Linked DNA regions of Sus scrofa. The protein of the gene in region 1 purifies or fractionates together with the protein of each later gene. This does not show direct contact. Links are inferred from orthologs where the notes say so. Each region holds a gene or a part of one and is shown on either strand. Other genes may lie near its edges.

What was found. The genes of interacting proteins can lie anywhere in the genome.
Region 2: the proteins of tubulin alpha-1C chain (region 1) and TXNDC9 purify together in Homo sapiens (co-immunoprecipitation; 3 studies listed by BioGRID and IntAct, counting the BioPlex papers as one, with this or other methods). This does not show direct contact. The link is inferred for Sus scrofa from reciprocal best matches to the Homo sapiens genes TUBA1C and TXNDC9.

Annotation. Positions count from the first base shown.
Region 1 is NC_010447.5:15,152,121-15,156,335, forward strand, and holds the start of tubulin alpha-1C chain, read left to right. Parts: upstream 1-1,398; 5' UTR 1,399-1,479; exon of another isoform or gene 1,480-1,500; intron 1,501-4,215. Other genes in the region: TUBA1B (tubulin alpha-1B chain), read right to left, coding at 1-52, 1,396-1,398. UniProt on the Homo sapiens protein: Tubulin is the major constituent of microtubules, a cylinder consisting of laterally associated linear protofilaments composed of alpha- and beta-tubulin heterodimers.
Region 2 is NC_010445.4:54,934,651-54,938,300, forward strand, and holds part of TXNDC9 (thioredoxin domain-containing protein 9), read left to right. Parts: intron 1-1,618; coding exon 1,619-1,737; intron 1,738-3,650. UniProt on the Homo sapiens protein: Significantly diminishes the chaperonin TCP1 complex ATPase activity, thus negatively impacts protein folding, including that of actin or tubulin.

The sequences.
Region 1 (4,215 bases):
CATTGCCGATCTGGACACCAGCTTGGCCAACGTGGATGGAGATGCACTCACGCTGTGAGAAAGTAGGGAAAAAAAAGATGAAACCAATTAGTGGTGAAAGAAGCAGAACAGATGCTTATGGATGGTTAATTTTACAAATTTCCTCTTTTGAAATGAATGAAAATGTATTTCTTTTAAATCTAGGGAAGAAGGTCTTTACTTTTGATCTATATTACTTTTGATTAATTTCCTTTTCTCCTCTAAATTGAGAAGGCATCTTTCCAGGCCAAGAAGAGCTTAGTCATCGCTTCCTCCTTTGAAGGATCAAGATAGGGAGAAGGCCATCATCTAGCCTTCAGGCCTCAGAATCCCATTTTAGAGGAGGTGGCCAGACTTCCGGACAGCTCCCAGCTCAGGAAGCACATGGCCAGAGCAGTGCAGAGGAAATGTCTGGCCACAGGGAGGAGGGGCGGAGCTCTGCGGCACAGCATGAATGAGCAATTCAGAGGGGGCGTGCGCGCGTGCGCGCCCCCGCTGCTCCCTGCAGCCTCTGAGCTGCGCAGCTGCAAAGGCTCGTGACAGCCACGTCTGCAGAGACGCAGCCATCGCCAACCGTCCTACGCTGCCCAGCATCTCCACATCCGTCACAACGCAGCAGGGGATTATCGGCGGCCCAGATCTGGACCAAGATCCGATTTCCGTTCCTTCAAAACCCCTCACCACCACCTGCTCCCACACACATTCCTAAGGCAGAAGAGGACAGATGGCTTTTAGATGCTCTTAAGAGCTAGTTGTCCTAATACACTGCCGTGGTGCCGCACAATGGTGAGGAACCCTTCTCCATATTGATTACTGCACTTTTTTAAGAGAACTCTGGGTAGCAGGAGACACGCCCTCCAACCCTAGACCTGCAGCGCCCCAGCACGCATGCGCACTCTGCAGTGGCGGGCTTTCCCACCGCTCCCTGGCGGGAAGGTAACGGTCGCGCCTGCGCTTTTGTGTCGAGCTCCTTCCCGCCTACGCTTTTAGCGCTGAGGAGGAAGTGAGGGCGGGGAGAGCCCGCGCGCGCGCCCGCCAGAGGTGGGGGGAAGGAGAGGGGGATGGGAACACGCGGGAAAAGACTGCAGGGTCTCGGGGCACCGCGCCCAGGAGTTAAAGGCTAAAGGAGAGCCCCAACCGCAGTGAAGGAGAGCCGGTGCCCTGCAATCCCCTTCCAGAGTCCTAGAAGAAAACAAGGTGGCCTCCCACTTCCGGGCCCCAGCGGTTCTCCAGTATCTACTCCCACCCTCGGCTCTCGCCCTGCTCTTCATCCTCCAAGTGGACAGCGCTGGCCCCAGCCCTCTCTAGCTAGAAGCCTTCGAGCTCCCCCGGTTCGTTCTTCCCCATCTTCCCGAGCGAGGTGGGCAGTCTACTCACCATGGTGGTTACCGGTCAGCAAGCGCAGGCAACAGGAGTAGACACCGAGTCCTGGTTACCGTCCCCGACAAGCTAAGAGTCGAGGTGAGTAACGCACTGAGGCGGAGGCTACGCGGGAGCCCCTTAAATAGCGGTCCGAGGAGGGGCGGGCGGGCGCAGGCGGCGCCATGGCCGCCGGCCCCTCCCCGGGCCCGGCGCACCCAGTCGGCGTCCGACTAGGCCTCCGCAGAGGCGGGCTCCTGGCCCCTAGCCACCTCCCCGCGCCGGCCTTGCGGGGCGGGGTCCGCCGCGCCTGCGGGCTTCGAGCTTGGGTGCTGCAGTCTTTGGCGCATGGCTGCCGGGGCCTGGGCGGGGGTGAGGGTGGGGGTGGGGCGCAGGTTCCGAATAGGCCGAGACGGGGATGGAGGCTCGATTGCCTTAATTTGGAAGAATCCTGATTTAAGAAGCACACAATTTTAAAGATGAAGCACCAGGAAATGCAGAAACTTCTGGTCTGGATAGCTCAGCTGATTATTTTCACGTTGTCATAATTTGTCAGTGAGTTTTGCCTTTTTCCCTTCTCAGTTCCTTTAAAGGCAGTTGCGAATGCATTTACCTGTTAATGTGGAGGAGCAAGGTTTAGAAAACAGCGTAGTTGTATTTGGATTACCGTCGTGACTTGTCCTTTGAACTAAAGGTTCTGAACATTGGAAGCAAATAGTATTTCAGTCATTCAAAAAGTACCTAAGCACTGAACATCTAAACTGTTAAAAGGGCAGAGTAGTCTCCATTTTTAGACCTAAACCAACCAACTTCATTGAACAGGGCCTTTTAGAAAGAAATATTTCAAGGCACATTTCAGATTTAGTAGCTGAATTGAAAATTGGGGAGGGAAGAAATTGTTTGATCCTGAAAGATGTTAGGAAGTAGAGATTCCTTGTGCTGTTTAGAGTTTTGTAAAACTTTTTTTAATTGAAACATAATTGACATATAATGTTGTTTTTCAGGTGTACAACATAGTATTTTACATTTATATACATTGTCAACCTCAAAAAATAAATCAGTTTTTTTTACCATCAAGATGGATTTATTTGGGAGTAGCAGAGAATTGCAATTGGGACAAGCAAGCTATGGGGAATCATAGACAAATCCAGAGAACAAAGGAGAGGGGATTTTATTAGATTTTAGAAAGAAATTGGGGAGGATTGTTTAAAGAAAAGTTCTTTGGAGAGTTCAAGAATGTGGCCATTTCTCATTGGCTGCAAGCAGTGGTTAGTGTTGTTGCTGGGGCAGGCAGTGATCTTCCTTACTTTTTTAAAAGCTAGAGATAAAATTCCTATGTGAAAATGTCCTCCCTTGTACCAACCAGAAGAAAAGTAACATTTTTATCATCCTTCTTCCTGCTGATTAGGTAGGTTGCAAATAGTGCTAGGTTGTTGAGTTCTGCCTTCAGGGTTTCCTGACTCCATTGAAAATGAAGTTTCCTGGAGTTTCCTCAGCAGGTTAAGGATCCACTGTTGTCACTACTATGGCAAGGGTTCAATCCCAGGCCTGGGAACTTCTGTGTGTTAAGGACACAGCCAAAAAAAAAGAAAAAAAAAAAAAGTTCCCTTTATTAATGTATCCATTTACCACTACCACCCCTTTTTTTGTCTTTTTATGGCCACACCCACAGCATTTGGAAGTTGCCAGGCTAGGGGTTGAAGCCTACACCACAGCCACAGCAATGTGGGATCCAAGTCCTGTCTGTGACCTATGCCACAGCTTACAACAACCGATGGATCCCTAACCCACTGATCGAGGCCAGGGATCAAACCTGCATTCTCTTGGAGCCTAGTCAGATTTGTTACCACTGAGCCACAACAGGAATTTCACACATTTACCCCCTTTGATCAAGATCTTTCCCCTTGGTGCCAAAAGGACCCTTTCCTGGTTGTCATCTCCCATGTGGGAAAGTGCAGATTTAAAATAATTGAGGCCACAGTGAGGAAGGGGGGCGAACTCTTAGGCATTTCCATCTAAACTATATCTTACCACGGTCTTAAGCATTGGAGATTGTCTTGAAGCGTTGAGCTAGCATCACTTTACGGGGTAAGTCATTTCTACAAAGATTTAACAGGAAATAAACACAAAGCACTTTGTATGATGGTTCTAAACCAGGAGCCCATACTTGAGGGTAACTGCTAACTAGGCCAAAAAAATCAGGCAGGTCATCAAATGAAAGTTGTAGTCATGGACTTGTTCCCCATTTTTGTGTAATTGAGTGTCTGTTTCTCTAGACACACTTATCTATGTTCAACGGGTGGTATTTGCTATCATACAAATGCCTCCTTGCTCAGAAAGCAGATAATCAAAGGCCGTGCAGTTACCCAAAATTACTTTAATAAACAAGTAAAGTGATCATTGTTGGGTTGTTATTGCTTTGGCTATGGAATCAGATGGCTCTTCTAATGTTAGAGAGAGATCTCTGATCATAAATTTCATTGGCACTTACTCCAGCCCAAAGGAGAAAGATTCTCCCTATGGAGCCACACTTCAAGTCATGTATGCCTCCTTGAAGTTCTTGTTTAAGGTGGCGTGAAGGCTTAAAGACAAAAGGGAAGCTTCAAAAGTCTTATTACCTTGTAGCTATCATCAAGGAACACCAGGTGCAATTAGCAGTAGCACTTGGGAAAAGTGGAAAATATTCATTATAGGCTGGACTGTAGGGTCACTATTGTCATGAACAGGTCAAAATTTCCAGTGGCAAATCCAACAATTAGATGTTTCCACTTTTGTAATAGATTGAGAAATACAGATAAGAGCATTTTTTCCCAAGAAAAAGAGGGAGAGGGAAAGGTA
Region 2 (3,650 bases), on another chromosome or scaffold:
TTAAATTCTGTAAATTGAGTTTTGATCTTAATGTTTCCATTAGTTTATGTTACATTGAAGTACATTATCACCAGCTTTGGTTCCTCTCAACTGGCTGTGCCTAAAACATTAGCTTTTACTTTTCTAAAGAAACAGGAAGTTTTGTTTGTGCTGCTGAGCATCTGTTTGATGATGCTTACACTCTCATTGCTTAGAAGAATTGCTACAAAAAGGAATCTTACAGTGTGACTGAGTTCCAATTTTTATATCTCTAGTTTTCTAAAACACATGTGGTTTTGAAACCATATATCTATACGTATACATACACATACACACATATATTTACATATATACAGGGTTTTTTGTGTTTTTTTTTGTCTGCACTCTTGAATTAAAAATTCCCCAGCCAGGGATTGAGCGTGTACTACAGCAGTAACTCTAGCTTCTTTAATGACAATGCCAGATCCTTAACCCACACCACAAGAGAACTCCATGTATATATACAGTTTTAAAACCAGACTACTTCTCTCAATTTAATGCTAATAATGATTTAAGGTACTCTATGGTGAGGTTCTGCTACACCTCATTTCATGATTAAGTACTTTTGAATCTACCTGATTGGCAGTGAGAGGCATACATTTAATGAATTTGTGAACAGTTAACAATAGTCTGAATATTTTTAACTAAAAACAAGCAGAGGCAGGCAGTCTTTAGGGCTTTTCTAAATTAACACACAAATCATTTTAACATAAATCTGCCCTAGAGTAACCCAGAGGGTCTTATTTAGAGCTTTCATTGCACTTCAGTAGGTGTTTTTTTATTAAAATGTTTTCTGAGGAAGTAGGCAAGAAGGCTTAATGGTTTTTATAGATACTCTTTCTGCAAGAGTGGTGTAGATTGCATAGTAATTTTGATTTTCTAATCCTTGAGGTATTGAGGAAATCAGTATATTTCCTGGTAGGGATCGAACCCGTGTCCTCATGGATGCTAGTCAGTTCGTTAACCGCCACAACGGGACCTCCCCAAGCAATATTTTTTAGAGCTTTGTAGGAACTTGGATCAAATGCTTCTGATTTTAGTAGTTTTAAGCAAAAAGAAATTAAATAGATCTTTACTAAGTCTCTGTTTTTATAGAGTCTAAATTTTTATTTATTTATTTATTTATTGCTTTTCAGGGCTGCACCCGCAGCACATGGAGGTTCCCAGGCTAGGGGCTGAATCGGAGTTACAGCTGCCAGCCTACACCACAGCTCACAGCAAACGCCGGATCCTTAACCCTCTGAGAGAGGCCAGGGATGGAACCCGCAACCTCATGGTTCCTAGTCGGATTTGTTTCTGCTGTGCCATGACAGGAACTCCCTAAATTTTTATTTTTGAAGTTCTAAGAAAATCTATGGTTTAAGTTACCAAGAAAGATAATTGTCTCAAATCCGAGCCAGGCTGTGGAGCTTGCCATTGCCCACAGGCTATTTGTGCACTAACACTAGAAACCTAGGAAAAGTAAATCACTAGAAGGAATTCATTTCCCTCGAAGATAAAGCCAACTTGACTACAAAGTATTATGGTGATTTGGACATAAAGTGTTAAGTGATATTAAAAGAGATATTTCAAAAGTGTATTTCCCTTTTCTCCAAATTAGGAATGGCTTTCAAAAGGACATGGGGAATACAGAGAAATTCCCAGTGAGAGAGACTTTTTCCAGGAAGTCAAAGAGAGTAAAAAAGTGGTCTGCCATTTCTACAGAGACTCCACATTCAGGTAACTTCGTTTCTTTCCATCAGTGACTGTTTTTGGATAAGATGAGATTGTTGGATAGAGATAACTGACCTAGTAGAGAAATTAAGAAAAATAGAAAGGGGATTACTTCCTAAGTTGTTTCTCTGTACTAGAAGTGTATATATTAAAGTTAAGCAGTCATTAAAGGCTTAACTTAGGAGTTCCCATCATGACTTAGTGGTTAATGAATCCAACTAGGAATCATGAGGTTGCGGGTTTGATCCCTGGCCTTGCTCAGTGGGTTAAGGATCCGGTATTGCCATGAGCTCTGGTGTAGGTCGCAGACGTGGCTCAGATCCCGAATTGCTGTGGCTCTGGCATAGGCCGGCGGCTACAGCTCAGATTTGACCCCTAGCCTGGGAACCTCCATATGCTGTGGGAGTGGCCCTAGAAATGGCAAAAAGACAAAAAAAAAAAAGTTTAACTTAAAAACCAGTAGCATATGAAAGTATAAATTATTGGTGATTAGCATTTCCATAGAAGTGGCTATTTTCACTATATTTTTACTAGCTAACTTTAAAGACATCTTAGGAGTTCCCATCAAGACTCAGCAGAAGCGAATCTGACTAGGAACCATGAGGTTGCAGGTTTGATCCCTGGCTTTGCTCAGTGGGTTAAGGATCCGGTGTTGCCATGAGCTGTGGTGTAGGTCACAGATGCAGTTCGGATCTGGCATTGCTGTGGCTGTGGTGTTGACCAGCAGCTACAGCTCCAATTAGACCCCTAGCCTGGGACCCTCCATATGCCCTAAAAAGACAAAAAAATAAATAAATAAATAAAGACATCTTAAAAATGTGGTTAAATTTTCAGTCAATGCCACAAGAATTCTGCTTTTGTCCCTACTCTTATGATATAGCCACAGTGTTGGATTTGGGCCAACACCTTGAACACCAACCTGAAAGTCAGTTACTTCTCAGCTGGCAGTTCATGGGGAGGTAGTGGCTTGACCAAGCCTCTCACCAGAAGCATAGTTGGGACCGCCAAGCTTGGATGCAAGGAGAAGCTCAAGTCTGCCAACCTCTCTTTGGAGGCAGCTCTCTCATAAAGTGAAAATAGCTCCAGAAGAGGTTGTATCTTAAAGGACTCAAGCCTTTTGTTGTATTTATTTTTTTCCTGGCCATACCCTCAGCATATAGAAGTTCCCAGGCCAGGGGTTGAATCCAAGCCACAGCACTGATTTTTAACCCACTGCACCCAGCTGGGGATCGCCTCGAGCCTTTTTTTTAGCCCCCAAATGTGATTAGTTGCCAACATTTTTAATGTTGGCAACTAGTTGAATTTTAGATATATATTTTTTTAAATCAGATAATTGATGGCTGACCTAGGATTGTTTGAGGACAATTTGCAGATCCTGAATGGCTCCTTGTCCCCTTAGACAGGTGCTCATATACAGAGTCTCTGTTCTTCACTCTGCTGTCTCCGCCTGACCCGCTTCTCTCATTTCCATAGCCTGCTTGGCTCTGGTCTTTGCCTCATCACCCAACAATGTGGTTATTCCTTAACACCTTTCAGGGACTGATTGTAGGATTTACTGACTAAGAAAATACAATTAAAGAAAATACTGAGAGGGTGCAATGTTCTCTAAAAGGAAAGTGGGAAAAGGATTAGGAAGGTAAAAAGACATCAAAAAACCTATCTGCCATTGTGGTCCACGGTCACCTCCCACTTCACATTCCTAAGGTGCCAAGCTCAGTCATGTGATGAGGTAATAAGTTATCCATATAAGATTGATATTATTTCTTATTATTAGCTGACTTTGCCCACTGGGTTGTTAGTTTTGTGCAGGCAGAGAGTATGCCTTTGTATTGTGGCCATCCGTGCTCCAGGTTCCCAGCCACAGAGCAGCAGTGGCTACACACAGTAGGTGCTCACTAAACATACTTGATGGATGTATA